Mus musculus: one gene and its partners. The protein of the gene in region 1 interacts with the protein of each later gene in a pairwise test. Links are inferred from orthologs where the notes say so. Each region holds a gene or a part of one and is shown in the gene's direction. Other genes may lie near its edges.

Evidence for each region.
Region 2: the proteins of Lsmem2 (region 1) and Lsmem1 interact in binary tests that used the Homo sapiens proteins (3 or more experiments, as listed by UniProt). The two-hybrid records come from large-scale screens. The link is inferred for Mus musculus from reciprocal best matches to the Homo sapiens genes LSMEM2 and LSMEM1.
Region 3: the proteins of Lsmem2 (region 1) and Gimap3 interact in binary tests that used the Homo sapiens proteins (3 or more experiments, as listed by UniProt). The two-hybrid records come from large-scale screens. The link is inferred for Mus musculus from reciprocal best matches to the Homo sapiens genes LSMEM2 and GIMAP5.

What each region holds. Positions count from the first base shown.
Region 1 is NC_000075.6:107,593,557-107,599,543, reverse strand, and holds the start of Lsmem2 (leucine-rich single-pass membrane protein 2), read left to right. Parts: upstream 1-2,468; 5' UTR 2,469-2,533; coding exon 2,534-2,555; intron 2,556-5,347; coding exon 5,348-5,458; intron 5,459-5,532; coding exon 5,533-5,718; intron 5,719-5,874; coding exon 5,875-5,987. Other genes in the region: Sema3b (semaphorin-3B precursor), read left to right, coding at 369-773.
Region 2 is NC_000078.6:40,195,325-40,201,102, reverse strand, and holds the start of Lsmem1 (leucine-rich single-pass membrane protein 1), read left to right. Parts: upstream 1-1,787; 5' UTR 1,788-1,896; intron 1,897-5,778.
Region 3 is NC_000072.6:48,766,861-48,772,681, reverse strand, and holds the start of Gimap3 (GTPase IMAP family member 3), read left to right. Parts: upstream 1-1,830; 5' UTR 1,831-2,040; intron 2,041-3,835; 5' UTR 3,836-3,945; intron 3,946-4,905; 5' UTR 4,906-5,192; intron 5,193-5,821. UniProt on the Homo sapiens protein: Plays a role in T lymphocyte development and the optimal generation of CD4/CD8 double-positive thymocytes. Inhibitor of GSK3A, possibly by sequestering GSK3A in cytoplasmic vesicles and impairing its translocation to the nucleus.

The sequences.
Region 1 (5,987 bases):
ATTTAAGAGAAGCTATGCCCTGCCTAAGGAGGCCTTTGGCCTGTACCTCATACCGTTCAGTGAGTCAGATTCCCTTATCATAGTTTGTCTCATCCTCTACTGTCCTTAGCTCCACAACCTAGTGATGCCCCAACTGTGCCCACCTAGACTCCTGACCCACCCTCTACCATCTGGAGAGAGAAAGCCCTCAACCCCCCACGCGCGCACTGAGGTTTCTAGTCTACCCAATCCCCCACTCACCTAGATGGACTCATCCTCCGAAGGCTAAGTTCACATACCCTTTAAAGTGAGTCAATGCCAGCACCCATTTTCCTTGTCCACCTTTGGCTTCCAATGATCCTTGTTTCTGTCCCTTCCCTCACACACAGGTGCTGGCTGAGGAGAGAGTAGAGCGCACTGCGCGGGGGCTGCTGTTGCGGGGGCTGCGGCGCCAGGACTCTGGCGTGTATCTTTGCGTCGCGGTTGAACAAGGCTTTTCACAACCACTGCGTCGCCTGGTGCTGCATGTGTTGAGTGCGGCGCAGGCTGAACGACTGGCACGGGCAGAGGAAGCAGCCGCTCCTGCACCTCCTGGCCCTAAACTCTGGTACCGGGACTTTCTGCAGTTGGTGGAGCCAGGCGGTGGCGGAGGTGCAAACTCCCTGCGAATGTGCCGCCCGCAGCCCGGGCACCACTCTGTGGCAGCAGATTCACGTCGTAAGGGTCGCAACAGACGGATGCATGTCTCTGAGCTCCGTGCTGAGCGTGGACCACGTAGTGCAGCTCACTGGTGACTCGGCTGTCCCCACAATGGGACGAGGCTGAATATGACACTCCAAAGAGGGGCAGACAGATGCCAGGAAGACAAATGAGTTATGGCTGGGCCACACTGAGGTCCTTGGGCCAACAGAGACACCTAACCCTTACATAGGCCCTGGCCAAAGGGTAGCTTATTTATTAACAAGATAACCCGTGGATGTAGCCTCAAAGAGTGGCCTAAGCTCAATTCAGGATCTAACCAGGAGGGAGGGGACAGAGACGTGGGGTTCCAGAGTGGACCAGGACCAGAGAGTTGTCTTGGGTGGCAGCCCTGGGGAAAGAATTCTCTTTCTTGGGCAGCAAGCAGCAAGCTGTGAACAGATTAGACCGTTGGGTATGGGGTGAGGCAGGCCAACTGTACTAAAGTAACGCAATAAACACATTATCAGCTGACATTGGAATGGCCCCAGCAGACAACAGGTAGTCCTAGACCTTGCTGGGGGCTCTTGGGTATCGCCCTAGGGGTCTCAAGACCTGCATTTTCCTCATCCAAGAATGCTAAAGTGAAGATTAAACGTGTTAGTAGACGACTACGCTGGTTCCAGTGAGCCTCTGGGGTACTGGCAATACACAGTGCATTAGTGGCAGGACCAAGCTCTCTGAAGTAAAACCAATACTGGCTGTTGTGGGCAAGGATGTATTAATTCACTGAACGGGTGGTGTTTGAGCTGAATAAGAAGGAGCCAATCACCAATGTCTGGTGACAGAACATTCCGGGATAGAAGAACCAGGGCAACAACGTCGTGGAGCAGGGGACAGACCCTCCAAGTCTGCGGAACAACCAGGAGGCTGATATGGTGTTATGGCACTATGGACTCCTGATGGTTTGGAAGGTAGATCCCACCAGCCCTGCTTTTCACCGTTGAGAAACAGAACAGAGTCCACCCAGACTAAGGCCTGCAAGCTGGACCAGCACCCTTCAAGAGAGCCACGTGCCTCTCTCTCCGTGGCCTGTCAAGCCCTTGTGAAGAGGAGAGGGAGGACCCAAAACCTCTTAAGTGCTTTAGCCATGCTTCTTCATTTTTATTCTCAGTACAGTTGGCCAGGAACCTTTGTTCCTGTTTTACAGATGGAAAAGTGGAAGCCACTCCTGAAGTTCTTTTAACCTAAGGTTATAGTTTAATACTAGACATAGCAGTTTCTAATCCCAGTTCTGTCCACTGGCCAGCATGGGTGCCCACTTGTAGGGCTACCAGATCCCTATGGCATTCATTGGGCTCCAGTTGTGTCCCACCCTACCCCCACTATCTGGTATTAGATGGTCACACAGTGGTGGGTGGTTATCTCCCGTTTGCTGGAAGGAGATGGCTGGTATGTGGGAGTGAGGGATGGCTGAGTGGACTGTGCAGGCATCCTTTTCTACCATGCAACATGGTGCATGCGACACGGTGCATGCTACATGCTGATCTTCAGGATGAAAGCCCCCAAAGTCTAGGTGGGTATAGAGTTGGTATGGTTTTCTGAGAAGTTCCTTGTGCCCATGTGCTAGCAGCTCTTGGCTGAGCCCCTTCACCAAGTAGGTAGTCTAGGGCAGCCCATCTAGGTCACTCTGCCCCTTTCATGGATCGGAGCTGCCCCCTCTAAATATAGTCCAGGAAAAGTGAGCTCAGGCCTATTTTAAGGGCAGGTTGGGAGGCAGCCAGGCCTCTCCCGGAATCTGAAAGGAGCCATTGCTCTCTTTGTCAAGTTTTGCTACTGGGCACTCTCATTGGGCCCTGACTACCTACCAACTGCCATGCCTGAGGAGACCCTAGAAGGTAGGAGAGGGTGGCCACTGGGGAGGACAAGGCTCTAGTTCTGCTCACAGAGAGACCTGGCTTCATGGGGAGACCTCTCGGTCTTTTTGTACCGCACTCCTAGGGACCTACCCCTATGCATGGAGAAAGAATGTATCCGTTATACTTAGAACTCCTCCCCACCTAAGGTCCTGCCTCAGGGAGGGATTCAAAGCTCTCCACTTAGGAGTGGGTCAGCTATAGGCTGTGCCCAAGTGGGTGTGGGCATCTGGGGGAGCTCCCAAGCAGTTCAGATCTTCCTTCAGCGAAGGAGCCAGGATTGGGGTGAAGACCGGTTCTGGGGAGCATTTGGATATCTGGCCCAGGAGGCGATGAAGTAGGCAGGCCTGCCCCGAGTGTCTTAGCCTGCTCAAGACTGGCACTTAGCCGGTCAAGTGCCTTTACCTGCTGAGCCATCCTGTCCCTCCTAAATATTTTACACTGCCGAGAAAGGGCCTGCCCTCTGCTAAGGGATGTTAACCTTTTTGGGGTGAGAGGGGGAGACCTAACTATAACATCTACCATGTGTCTTTTTCTATAGCAAATGAAACATGTTCACATATAAAGTATGGGAGACGCACAGTGAGGAGCAGAGGGGATGTAATGTGACTTGCGGTCCGCCGCCCAGGCTCAAGGACTGACAGCTTCTGGTTTTGTTTGAATTGCTTGTGAGCATGGCATGGGGCAGCTTCAAGCACGTCATAAAGGCTGAGTTACTGTCCGGAGATGGGAGGACCCAAAGCCATCCATCCCCAGTGCTGGGCTACACTGTAACCTGCGTTCCTGGCAGGCATCTGGAGTTGGGGCAAAACCAAACCAAACAACAACATCCAATAAAAGACCTTGACAGTGCACACTCAAGAGGCAGAGACAGGAGGATCTCTGTGAGTTCAAGGCCAGTCTGGTCTATATTCTGAATTCTAGGCAGCCAGGTCCACATAGGGAATCCCTGTTTCAAAACTAAATACCCAGTCAACATCAGCAGAAAGTGTAATTATAGTTATTTAGAAATCACAAATATTTTGATAATAGTTGAAATGCTGAGGCAGAAGGATCACTTGAATTAACCAGGTACTCAAAACCAGTCTGGGAACTTTCTGAGACTGTCTTAAACAGGGGAGGTGGGAGGAGGGACAAGATGGCTCAGTGATTGAAAGCACTTGCTGTATAACCAGAAGATCTGAATTCAGACCCCAGTGACCACGGAACAAGCCAGGTGTGGTCTTGTGTGCCTTATAACCCCAGTGCTGTGTGCACTGGGACATGAGGATAGGAAGGACAATGGAGCTTACTGGTTGCTACCCTTGTTAAAAAACAAAAACACCCAAACAAACAAACAAACCAAATAGCAAAGCTGGGTAGAGATGCACACACCTTTTTTTTTTTTTTTCGAGACAGGGTTTCTCTGCATAGCCCTGGCTGTCCTGGAACTCACTTTGTAGACCAGGCTGGCCTCGAACTCAGAAATCGGTCTGCCTCTGCCTCCCAAGTGCTGGGATCAAAGGCGTGAGCCACCACTGCCCAGCGAGATGCACACACTTAATGCCAGTAATAGGTAGGCCGAGGCAAAAGAATTTCGAGTTTAAGCCCATCCTAGCTTAGGCTACGCAATGAGTTCCAGGCCAGCACAGTGAGTCACTATCTCAAAACAAAACAAAACAAGACAAAACAAAACAAAACCTGAAATAAATATAACCATAAGGGAACCACAGTCAGCGGCTAAATAGGCAGAACCTGTAAACGGTAATTACACACACGTTGGTCAGGCTCCCTAGGCAGCAATCAAGACAAGCTGTTTCTCATCTCTCAAGTTAGCAAATATATGTAAAGGTGTGGGCATACAGAGTCTGGGGATAGTTCTGTGAAGAACTTGTCTAGCATGCTTGAAAGACCTGAGTTTTATTTCTCCGGGGCCAGGATGTGTGTGAAGACTGTCCCACGACATGCTCAGAAGCAAGTCCAAAAGCAGATACTGTCTGCCAGTCTTTATGTCTGGGAGGGGGACTACAGATCTCGGGGTACACACTTCTGATCCCAGGCAGGTCTGGTGAGGTAGAGAGAGTTCCTGGGGCTCCGTAGTTAGTGAGTCTAGGTTATTTATTGGGTTCCAGTGCCAGGTCAGCAAGACCTTTGGCTTCTGCACCACACACACACACACACACACATTTTCCCCACAGTGGGATGGCTAATGGTGGCCATGTTGTACTGCTGGGCTCTGGACAGGCCTTTTAGAAGATAGTTTTGATGATAGCTTCAAAGAGAACTCTCAGTTCTTTGGGCCCCATGATTTCCACTTCTGAGAATTGTCCTCAGTAACTTTCAGGAAAGTGGGGAAAACCTTCATGTTTAATGATGGATGTCCTGGGGGTTAATTTCCACTGAGAATTGGAAACTACCTAAATGCCCAGATAGCCTCAGAGGGAGGCCAGAGGGAGGAGCCCTCAAAGTTAGATTGAAACTGTTAAGAATAAAAGTGGACTCCTGCGGCGCCGTTGAGTGCAAACAGCAGGACTCCCTCCCATAAGAGAGGCCGAATCACTGTGAAGGCAGACCAGAGGCCAGGAGGAATAAGCAGGCAGACCTGGGAAATGCTCAAATGTGACATGGGAGCATGGAGTCCCTGGACCCTTTGGAGCCCTGGACCCAAACTTAGGGTCACCCCTGAAATTGTAGGGAATTTGGAACCAAATGTCACAGGTGCAGTTCCCATATGTCCCAAGTCTCCGCAACCTACAAAGGAACTGATTGCTCCAATTGTCCCACCGCCCCTGTAGACACCGTGTTGCCAATGCAGAACCAGAGGAACAGGGGAGCACTGGCTCCTAACCACGTGCAGGAGGTGCGTCTGCACCGAGTGGAGTCCATCAGTGACCTACACAGCGGAGGTAAGGGAGCTCAGACAGGGAGTGAGATGGATGCTGTGGGTACCACCTTCCCGATGGACCGGTTCTCCTTGCAGGCTCACTACGACCCTGTCTGGTGGAGGAGGCACAGGCATGGGAGGAGCTTCTGGGTGTCTTACCACCATCGCTGTGCACCCAAGCTGGTTGCAGCCCTGTGTGTGGCCGTGGGGGCTTCCTTCTGCTGCTGGTACTGCTGGTGTTCACCTGCCTGGCGCTGGCCACCGTGGCTGTCTATCTAAGTGGTAGGAACAGGCAGGACCAGGAACCCAGGGCAACTGGAAATGAAGCAATAAAGGGTGGGGCACGGGCCAGTGGGCAAACCCTGACGAAGGGCTGTTTGGGGATCTGGGGAGGCATGCAATCATGACAAGGTCCCACAAATGTCTTCTCATTCCCAGTGCTGCAGAGCGAATCCCTGAGGGTGTTGGCTCACACACTGCGCACACAAGAGGAGACTCTGCTCAAATTGCGTCTGGCTAGCCTCAGCCAGCTAAGAAGGCTCAACTCCAGT
Region 2 (5,778 bases), on another chromosome or scaffold:
TAGGGTTTGAGGAATGAGAAATAAGCACTTAACCCATGCTTGAGATTACAAAGATGGAAATCTTAAGAATTCATTGAGTAACTTCTGCTGGCAACGATTGCTAAGAACCTGATGTTTAAGAATTGAGTTGAAAGTAGTGCCAGCCAGCCAACCACTGATTCTCAGCCAAATTACTGTAGCACAAGAATTAATTTCAAAACAATAGACTCAACTCTATGATGGCTGGGAATTGACTGGATACCATGAGGGGCATTTGAAAGAAATGTAAGGCCCTAGACATGTTTTCTACTGATTCAAAAAGCAGCATTTCAGTATTAAGAGAGCCGTCATATTCTGGTCAAGTCGTTGTCTACGAGTCAAAGTAAAGCCAGGTGCCTTCAGACAGGTTTGATGGATGGACACATGCATGGGGTTGTCTCATCGCTGCCACTTTACCCTCCCTGGCAGTGGAGGCTGTTTCCCATCTCTGGAGGACTAGTACTTGAGGTTATAATGTTAGAAGAAGGGGAAAACAGCCATCAAAACTGAAGCAAGTACTTCTGAGATGATAGGGGATTTGGGACAGATTGGGTAGTTAGAAGAGTTTTGGTTTTTGACCTGCATGACTAGATGATGGGAACATCTTCATTTTTTCTGAGCTTAGTTTTAATACAGGTGACAGCACTTAATGATAAAGGTATCAAGTGCATGGTCTTCTTGGTTCTCAAGCTATGGGAAGACCAAAAAATGTGAGATTCCTGTTCTCTGACAGTATAATAATGTCCCTAAAGAACCGTGTAAGAGAAGCTGGAACACACAGAGCTATAGAATGAGCGGGCACTTGTGAGCGAAGGCAGATCTTAAACAACTGCAAGTCTGTTTTCATCCAAACTGTGTGTGATCTGGCACCCGGAGCTTGCAGGCCCCAGCTCTCACTGTAGTACCTATTGTGTACACCAGAGGGCAGAAACTGCCTGCCACTTGTGGAAAGGAAACAAGGCTGCTATTTCCAAAAGGCAGGTGCGCTTCTGAAGCCCATTTTGGATGGAATGCTGAAGTGTGCAATCTTTGCACCCACAGACACTTTTTGTAAAGCTAATTGAAAGCCCAGGAGTCCCCGGACCTGCTGCTATAGTTTAGATCTCTGAAGTCTCCTTAAAGAAAAGTGTAGAAGGCTTGCATGGTCACCAGCCTGGAACCGCTGGAGAATGGTGGATCTTTAGGTGTGAGGCTTGGTTGAAGACAAGTCTTTGGCCCTTTCCTCTCAAGCCTCTTCTTTCAGCTGTACCTGTTACCATGTTTTCTATTTCTGCAAGCCTAGATCAGAGGTCTGAAACGGGGGGCGGGGGGGGGGGCTAGTATAAAGCTGACTTATTTTGGATACAGGGATGGAAATCTAACACATCAGCCACTCCGCTAGTTGTGTTATCACAGCTATCCTCCCTGTTTACTGAGGTCTCTGCACACCAGATGTCCCAGTGGCAGCTCCTGCCTGCTGCAGGGTATTTATACACAGGAGCACAGCACAGCAGAAGCGCTAGCTAGGAAATGTGCTGTCAGACGATACAGCCACTTCCACTGAGTAAGGACTTTCAACTTGAGCTTCATATGAACCACATCAGTTACCAACTGAATCCAGGCTTGCCGGTCTGTTGTTTTAAAGCAAAGCTTCACCAATTCGTATCTTAAACTCGGACATGAGAGCGGAAGCCACTGCAGGGAATCTTGTTATCGCTTGGCTACATTTACACTAAATATAGACCACCAATTATGTGCTGGGTTTACGGGCCTCAGGGGAGCACTTGTGAGCAGCAGGAAGATTAAGAGCGAACTACAGAACTGGTAGAAAGTTTGGCTGTAGTTGTTCCTGAGTAGTTGTCTTTTCTAGGAAACCGAGCATTGGAGGCTCACGTCTTTGTAAGTAATTTGCATGCTATTTCTTACTGAGACCGAATGATGATTTTTGAGTCCTTGGGGTTTTGATTGCATGTATTCTGTGCTTTTCGACTGCTCATAGAAAAGATGTAGACTTGATTTTTAAAATTACCTCCTGACTTGGAGGCATGAACTCAGGAATGCCGTTCATACGTGGCCGTGGCTCACTCAAGGAAGCATCGTATTAAGCTTTGAGTTCAGCCTTCATTGGTAAACAATTCTGAGTTCGTAGCATACAATATGGTTTTCTGCTTTGATACCAATACCTGCAGGGAGAATGTACAATGAGTTTTTTTTTTTCAGAGACAATTTTTATTTGTTGAAGTGTCCTACTGGTAGAGAATCAAGCAATTATTAGATGATGAAAGGCTCAGCTGTTAGCAGTGATCAAGAACACGGGAAAATGAAACTACTTACGTGTCTGAGTTCCAGGATCAGAAAAGAATCTGCCCAGTGGAGCTCGGCAGGAAGGCCAAGTTAGTGCGACACGGAATAGGTAGTGACACTCTGCAGCGGCCTCGGTGGTTGTTTCTGAATGCCCTCATTTCAGCTTCCAAAGATAGCAAGGGCTGGTGTTGACAGCTGTGGGTTCTGGTTTTCAAGGTGTGTCCTTGTATCCGTTTACTGGCAGAGTCCCTCAGAAGCCACCTGCAGGCCCTTGGAGCCCATGAATCACACTGCCTTTTTTTCCTCTACTAGCTTGTCTTTCATTTTAACATGTCGCAACACTGAAAAGGCTTATTGAAAAAACATCTACCAACATTGTGAGCTCGCTGTAAAGATGTCTCCTTCTAGAGGACTCCATTATTTACTTGGTCTATTTTAGATTTAGAAAAAAAATCTTGAACAAATTTTATGACAGATTTTATTCTAAATTATGTGTGTGGGCGGGGCATGTTTATGCCACAACACTTACTTGGAGGTCAGAGGACAAGTTGCAGGAGTTGGTTCCCATCGAACAAAGGTGAAGGAGATTGAGTTCTGGCTACCAGGCTTAGTGCCATGTCTCCGTAGCTTAGCTATCTTGGCATCGCCTTCTTAGTCTGTGGCAAGCAAAGTTTAGTAACTGGACTATTACTTTAAAAGTAGGACCTTTTAGCAGTGACTTTTGTAGCTAGTCTTCCTCTCCTCCTCCTCCTCCTCCTCCTCCTCCTCCTCCTCCTCTTCTTCTCCTCCTCCTCCTCCTCCTCCTCCTCCTCCTCCTCCTCCTTCTTCTTCTTCTGCTCTCTCTCTCTCTCTCTCTCTCTCTCTCTCTCTCTCTCTCTCTCTCTCTCTCTCTCTCAACAGTAGTGACATTCCTGAGGGTGAAATAGCTATTAAGTCAGATTCAGAAATAAACTGTGTCTCTGTTACCATGCCCAAAATAGAAGCTGAGTTTGTAACAATGATCCTACCATGTGACCACATGCACCTATTTTTTTCCTGGTCCCCTCCACCCCCACAGAAAATGGTGTTTGGAATAATAAAGTATAAGCAGGTGATGAAGAAAGCACTTCCAAAAATGTGGCTTCAAGCCTGGTGCCCTGGCATCCAACAGCACTTCAAGGGCATGGCTTATCTTCTAAGGGGTGAGGTTTGCTCTCTGAGGCACTTTCCTTCCCTTCACAGCTGCTGCTGGTCTTGTTTTTAACTGTATCCTGTCATTCTTTTAAGACTGCCCCAATGCAGGATATTTGAAGTACAATAATTTCAATATTTAAAGCACTTTATAGTAATGACTCCATACATGCATTCTTTCCAATTAACATGTCAGGATAATTAAAACATACAGTTTGAATTTATGAGAAAAAAATCAGTGCATGACTTTTGGATCTTTTTTTTAACCTTGAATATTAAATACATCTTATTGTATATTTTCTTTATTTACATTTAAAATGTTCTCCCCTTTCCCGATTTCCAGCCCCCACAGAAGCCCTCCTTATCCCATTTCCCTCTCCCTGCTTCTATGAGGATGCTCCCCCACCCACCCACCCACCCACTCCCACCTTCCCACCCTGGCATTCCCCTACACTGGGGCATCAAGCCTTCACAGTACCAATTGCCTCTCCTCCCTTTTGATGCCTGACAAGGCCATCCTCTGCTACATATGTGGCTGGAGCCATGGGTCCCTCCATGTGTACTCCTTGGTTGGTGGTTTAGTCCCAGGGAGCTCTGGGGTGTCTGGTTGGTTGATATTGTTGTTCTTCTTATGGGGTTGCAAACCCCTTCAAATCCTTCAGTCCTTTCTCTAACTCCTCCCTTGGAGACCCTATGGGGACCCCATGCTCAGCCCAATGGTTGGCTGCAAGCATCTGCCTCTGTACTTGTCAGGTTCTGGCAGAGCCTCTCAGGAGACAGCTATATCAGGCTCCTGTCAGCATGAACTTCTTGGAATCTACAATAGTATCTGTGTTTGGAGACTATATATGGGATGAATCCCCAGGTGGGGCAGTCTCTGGATGGCCTTTCCTTCAGTCTCTGCTCCACACTTTGTCTCCATATTTGCTCCCATGAGAGTTTTGTTCCCCCTTCTACACCCACACTTTGGTATTCCTTCTTCTTGAGCTTTGTGTGGTCTTTAAATTGTATCTTGGTATTCTGAGCTTTTGGGGCTAATATTCACTTATCAATGAATGCATACCATGTGTGTCCTTTTGTGATTGGGTTACCTCACTCAGGGTGATATTTTCTAGTTCCATCCATTTGCTTAAGAATTACATGAAGTCATTGTTTTTAATAGCCGAGTAGTACTCCATTGTGTAAATGTACCATATTTTCTGTATCTATTCCTCTGTTGGAGGACATCTAGGTTCTTTCCACCTTCTGGCTATTATAAATAAGGCTGCTATGAACTTAACAGAGCATGTGTCCTTGTTATATGTTGGAGCATCTTTTGGGTATATGCCCGGAAGTGGTATAGCTGGGTCCTCAGGTAATACTATGTTCAATTTTCTGAAGAACCACCAGACTGGTTTCTTTTTTTGTGTGTGTCTGTGTGTGTCTATATTTTAAATACTTTTTATTAGGTATTTTCCTCATTTACATTACCAATGCTATCCCAAAAGTCCCCCATACCCTCTCTCCCAATCCCCTACCCACCCACTCCCCCTTTTTGGGCCTGGCGTTCCCCTGTACTGGGGCATATAAAGTTTGCAAGTCCAATGGGCCTCTTTTTCCAGTGATGGCCGACTAGGCCATCTTTTGATACATATGCAGCTAGAGTCAAGAGCTCCGGGGTGCTGGTTAGTTCATAATGTTGTTCTACCTATAGGGTTGCAGATCCCTTTAGCTCCTTGGGTACTTTCTCTAGCTCCTCCATTGGGGGCCCTGTGATCCATCCAATAGCTGACTGTGAGCATCCACTTCTGTGTTTGCTAGGCCCCGGCATAGTCTCACAAGAGACAGCTATATCTGGGTCCTTTCAGCAAAATCTTGCTAGTATATGCCATGGTGTCAGCGTTTGGAAGCTGATTATGGGATGGAACCCTGGATATGGCAGGCTCTAGATGGTCCATCCTTTTGACACAGCTCCAAACTTTGTCTCTGTAACTCCTTCCATGGGTGTTTTGTTCCCAATTCTAAGGAGGGGCAAAGTGTCCATACTTTGGTCTTCGTTCTTCTTGAGTTTCATGTGTTTAGCAAATTGTATCTTATATCTTGGGTATCCTAAGTTTCTGGGCTAATATCCACTTATCAGTGAGTACATATTGTGTGAGTTCCTTTGTGACTGGGCTACCTCACTCAGGATGATACCCTCCAGGTCCATCCATTTGCCTAGGAATTTCATAAATTCATTTTTTTAATAGCTGAATAGTACTCCATTGTGTAGATGTACCACATTTTCTGTATCCATTCCTCTGTTGAGGGGCATCTGGGTTCTTTCCA
Region 3 (5,821 bases), on another chromosome or scaffold:
TTTTAAACAAGGTGATGAGAAAGGAGGGCTCTCTAGAGTAGCAAGTCAAAAGGAAAGCATTTGTTGAGGCTGAGAGGCGACGGTTAGCCTTCAGTGAGTAAGAACTTTTTATGTGCAAGCATGAGAACCTAAGTTGGAATCCCCAGCATCCAAATAAAAATCTGGGCATGACTGCTTGTGCCTGTAATCTCAGCATCGGGCGCAAAGTGGCAGGTCCTAGAGCTCCTGGCAGTCAACCTAGTAGAAATCAAGAATTCACTGAGAGATCCTATTTCAAGGCAATAGGGTATCGCAGTAATAGAAGACACCTTCAGTCAGTCTTCTGGCTTTCCTGTGTTCACTCAGGAGCATGTGCACGTGCGAGCTCAGGCACATCAAAAATAAACAAACAACTCCCCCAAACCACTGTTCAATATTTCCAGACTGGGCAAAACAGAACACAGCAAACCAGCAGGTAACCAGCAGGGGGCAGTGTTTGCAAGACGTCGACGCCAGTTCCCACTCCCTTCCTACAGTTTTGAGCCTCAGGCTCTTGTTCTCATTGGCTGCAGTCTGGCTTCCTTTCCTGCTGACCGTCCCTTCACAGCAGGATGCACCTTCCCTTTGGAGGCGTGGACCAGAAAGCTGCAGTGAGAAAAGGTTCCAAACAATCCCTGAGTTCTGTGAGGAAGAAATCACACTGCAGGAGCTGAGGTGGATTCAGGAACCCACAAGAGCATACATGTCAATTAAAACAACAAAACAAAACAACAGCCAGGCAGTGGTGGCTCACACCTTTAATCCCAGCACTTGGGAGGCAGAGGCAGGCAGATAGTTCTGAGTTCAAGGCCAGCCTGGTCTACAGACCGGGACAGCCAGGGCTACACAGAGAAACCCTGTCTCGAAAAAAACCAACAAACAAAACAAAACAAAAAGCTAAGGATATGAACATGCAGGTTATAGGAACAACATCTATATTCATTTCACCCAAATAGATCCCATATCCCACTCTCCTCCTTGAACATTCTTTTGTTTAAAAAAAAAAAAAAATCACCCAAACTTGGGATTGGAGGGATGGCTCAGTAGTTAAGGAGCCTTACAAGTGTTAATAGTTCCAGATCCAGGGGATCCAGCAGCCTCTCCTGGCTTCTGCAAGCACCAGGCATGTGCAGAGGGCACTTGCATACATGTAGGCAAAACACTCATACGCGGAAAAGAACAGCAAGTGAATAAAAAAGTGATCTGAACTCAAACACACGGCTAAGTGGAACTCCTCCAGGGAGGAGACCTGGCTCACTCCGGATCCTGAGTCCTGCAGGGCAGCAGGCAGAGGCACAGGGACTTGGGATTCCACTAAGTGCTGTTGCTTTGCCTAAACCATACTATAGACTGGGTAGCTAGCTTCATGGCTTCTGTGGAGACAAGGTCTGCCCAGGTGAGAAAACCTAAGCCTTGTTCTCCCATACTCTCCCTAGAAGCCAGGGTACCTTAGCCAGGCTCAAGCATGATAGCTATTGATCTGTCCAGTGGGCCCTGGAGAGAGCCACTTTAGGCTCAACTGCCACCTCAAATTCCATCTAAGAAGCTACCTCCGGATGGCAGAGGTAAACAGCAGAGCAGAAGAGATGCATGCTGTCTGCCTGGTGAGGAGGAGCAGAAGCTAGAGTCTTGGGTTGCCCATGCTTTTAGACTTCTAGATTCTCTTAGGCCCATAGAGAATACTTTGTACACAAACATCTCAGTGGTGTGGCCGATGAGGGTGGAGCAGGAAGCAGAACTTTTTTTTTTTTTTTAAATCAACCTTTTCCACTGGCTGCCTTCTTCAGTGGCCCTCAGAGCACCCCTTTTCAGAGAAACTCATGTACATCACCCTTTCCCACCCCTCAGGAGACACCGTCTTCCTCCCCCTGGAAGACAGATCTTGTGAGCTGGCCTTCACCTCTTGTAGCTCTTGTACTTTTACGAAAGACTACAAACCAATGTGAGAGGCTGCCTAGGCCTGGAAGGTAGCTCCACAGTGGCTATAGATCTTGAATGGAAAGATCCTCAGGAACTCACCAGGTAACAGGGATCTTGTGGTGTGTGTGTGTGTGTGTGTGTGTGTGTGTGTGTGTGTGTGTGGTGTTCTTCTATCCTGCTCACCCTTAAATCTACCAGTAACAATTAGTGTCAACCTGAAGGGAAAGACAACTGATCTTTTTTCATAGACTGTAGAGAAATTCCTGTTCCCCAGGGACTTTTAGTCTTGTCTGTGGAACATCAGTGAGTTTTCTCCCTCACAGAACAAGGCTAACACACCACTGAGGACTCAGGAGAGGTGGACTCTTAGACATTCTCCTTGCTTTCCAAGGGCGAAAGGGAGCAGACAAGCTTCTAAAGCAATTTCCCTAGAGCTGTCAGCCAGGCTTGTATTGAGTGTCTGGGAACCAGAGAGCAGCTGGAGGGGAACCAGTCTTTGGGACGGGGCATCAGACCGGGTTTTGTGAGCTGGGAAATTAGAGTTGTGGCAGGAAGATGGAACGTGGGCCCCATGGGTGATCTGAAGTTCATACACTACCCATCGTCCAGAAGGAACCCTAGCTGTCTGACTAGCATTCGCTTTATCCAGTCGGGGTCAGGACTCTATCAATGGATAAGAACAACCCCAGGCTCTTCCCCAGAGCCTTGGGTTCCTCGATGTTGGAGAGCAAAGGGACACCAGATGTCTTTTTCCATCACTGACTGTGGTCTGCACTCTCTGACTGGCTAAATTATCTATTGGCGTATCATCTCACTGAATCCAGTACTCACTGAGTGGCTGGACTGGCTATCTTATCTCCCCGTCCCCTGCAGGTTTAATTTTCTTTCTTTCCCATCACTTTTCTTTTTCTTGGTGAACATTCACAGTGCTGGGCAGGAGGGAATTTGTTTTGTTTTGTTTTGTTTTTCGAGACAGGGTTTCTCTGTGTAGCCCGGGCTGTCCTGGAACTCACTCTGTAGACCAGGCTGGCCTTCAACTCAGAAATCTGCCTGTCTCTGCCTCCCGAGTGCTGGGATTAAAGGTGTGCGTTCACTCAGGTTCATCTGTTCACAGAAAGCATTTGCTGTTTGTTTTGGATAAAGTAATACATTCTTTAAAGACCAGTCAAAGCAAACAGAATGAAGCTGCAGGCAGTAAAGCTTTTATTCCCGGAAAGGACCCCATGACCATTGCACACTGGTTTTCCCTCATAACAGCATGACACATTTTCCCCATTAGGACAGTTTGTTCTCAAGATGCTGTGGTGAAGGATATGGGAAAGAAAGAATGATATTATCAGTTTTCTCAAATGAGACCAAGATAATCTGCACAAGGCCAACACACAAGTCTGTGACCTTCTCACAGTGCTTCTAAGTGTGGCCTGCCCATGCCCTCTTCCAGTCTCTTCCAGTCCTGCATGAGGGAAGCACTGCCAGGGGAGGGCCTCTTAGATATGGGGAGCTCTTCCACTTTTGCTAGCTCCAAGGTTCAACCAAGGGCCAGAAATAACTGACACACACACACAAACACACACACACACTGACTTCTTAAAAAATAAACGAAAGGACTGACAGGTGTGTGGGTGAAGTGGTGGAGTGGTAGGGGTGGGCTGACACTTGGATCCTAGTGGGTGGGGACAGGGCACACTGCTGTCTTGAAAAAATGGTGGCCCAGCATAAAATGAAGGGGACCGCGTGGGAAAGGGGTACAGATGAGAAACAGCAAGGTGACAGTCATTTTGCTGGAACTGTGTGGGTTCAGACTAGAGAAAGCACTGGAGAGGAAAAAAAAATGTCTAAAGAAAAAGGCTTGAGAAGCAATGTTTCCACTCTTGCTTTCGCTCCTCTTTCTCCTCAGGCTTGATTCTGAGATGGCAGCAGTTTAAGGCTCTCAATTTGGAGGAATGACCTGCCACCAGTTGCTTGGCCAAAGGCATTGTATGAGTACTCCTGCCTGAGAGACTGTTGGTAAGCACCTAGGGGCGCCAGACCCCACCCATCAGCATACGCTGAGGAGCACAGCCCAGGGAGCTGTACAGGAAGCAGTGGTAGTGTGACCTTCGCTCTTTCATCGGCAGTGTTGTTCAACCTAGTCAGTCCCCTCACAGACGTGTAAGCCGCTCAGGGCTTCCACAGGGCCTCAGGACTGAGCTTCAACCCTTTCCTCTTCTTTCTTACAAAGAGAACAAAGCAAAGCTGAGGGTCGAGTTTGGTTCTCTGCATCTTTCTGCTTCAGCTGAGCCTTGGCTTTGATGGACTTCAGCTCTCCAGGGCAATGGAAACAACAGATTCAGAGATTTGCTTTAGGAACTGGCTCACATGACCATGGAGGGACAGAATGCCTGAGCCCTGCAGGTGTCTGGAGGCTGAAAGTTACTGGGCTAAATGCTGGATCCTGGCATCCAGTGTTGAAATTAAAGTTTAATTTATATTTATTTTAATTTATATTTCTTGTCAAGTTGGTCTCTGGACGGTTTCATATGTGGAAGAGCTAGAAAACATCTAGAAAATCCATTTGTTTCAAAAAGTGTTTTTAAGTGACACACCAGAGACCCTGAGGTTCTGTAATTAGACATTCTTTTTATTTTATTTTATTTTATTTTATTTTATTTTATTTTATTTTATTTTGGTTTTTCAAGACAGGGTTTCTCTGTATAGCCCTGGATGTCCTGGAACTCACTCTGTAGACCAGGCTGGCCTTGAACTCAGAAATCCACCTGCCTCTGCCTCCCAAGTGCTGGGATTAAAGGTGTGACCACTGCCTGGCTAATTAGACATTCTTTAGACACTCATTTTGAGGCTAATGTTGGATATTTTCGTTTCATTTTGCTTACATATGGGATTGACTACATATAGAATTAAGTAAAAACCAAATTGCTGGGCACGCCTATGAGGGGTTTTTTGCTTGTTTAATTAACTGTTTTAAAGGGAGACCAATTTCTAATCTGGATCCTTGAGATGGGAAGATTCACCTTTAACCTGGGTCATACCGTCACACCATCTGCTGGCAGCCATGGAAGAAGGAAGCTTGCTCTCTTTGCTTCATTACTCTCATTCTCACTGTCAAGTGCATTCCTTCACTGGCATTAGAGCATATTTCTTCAGGATTCCAGTGTATACTACAGACCATCTGAGATGTCCAGACTCATGGACTGAACAACTACTGGACTTCCCATTGGTAAACAGGCATAGTTGGACTGGCTGGACCAGAGACTGTAAGCCATTCTAATAAATCCCTTTTCTATTGTGTGTGTGTGTGTGTGTGTGTGTGTGTGTGTTCTATTAAGTTCTGTTCCTCTACAGAACCAGACTAATACAAGACCTTACTCCTGGAACATAGTCAAGGAAATACTCAAAAGCTTTGACAAGCAGGGGCCTGAATTTGGAAGGTCTGTATAGGTTCTTCCTGGTAAAAAAGCTGGGAAGTTGTTCTCCCTAACCTGGTACAAGAGGTAGGTAGAGTGGGGTAGGACAAGGATCAGAAAGGCTTGTGAAGAACAGGGTAGAAGGAAAGGAAGGGCCTGAAAGAAAGACACCCTCGAGGTGTTTCTAATCCCAGGATTGAACTGGAAACAGGGAAGCTGTAGATTCCAGGAGCACAGCACATTGACTATGCAGCCTTAGGACTTAGCTTTTCTTTCTGCTTACTGGGGGCAGCCCACCACTCCCAAACAGGTCCCACAGTGCACTCCTACTCCTTGGTGAACAGTTGCTCCTGGTTTTCTGGGAACTTTCCCAGGTTAGGCAGAGAAAATCCTGTGGTCTGCACTCAGCTCAACTCTGGGCATGGCAGAACCATTGCCAGAACGTGGGAAGAAGTTCATTTGTCTCTTGGAGGTACTGG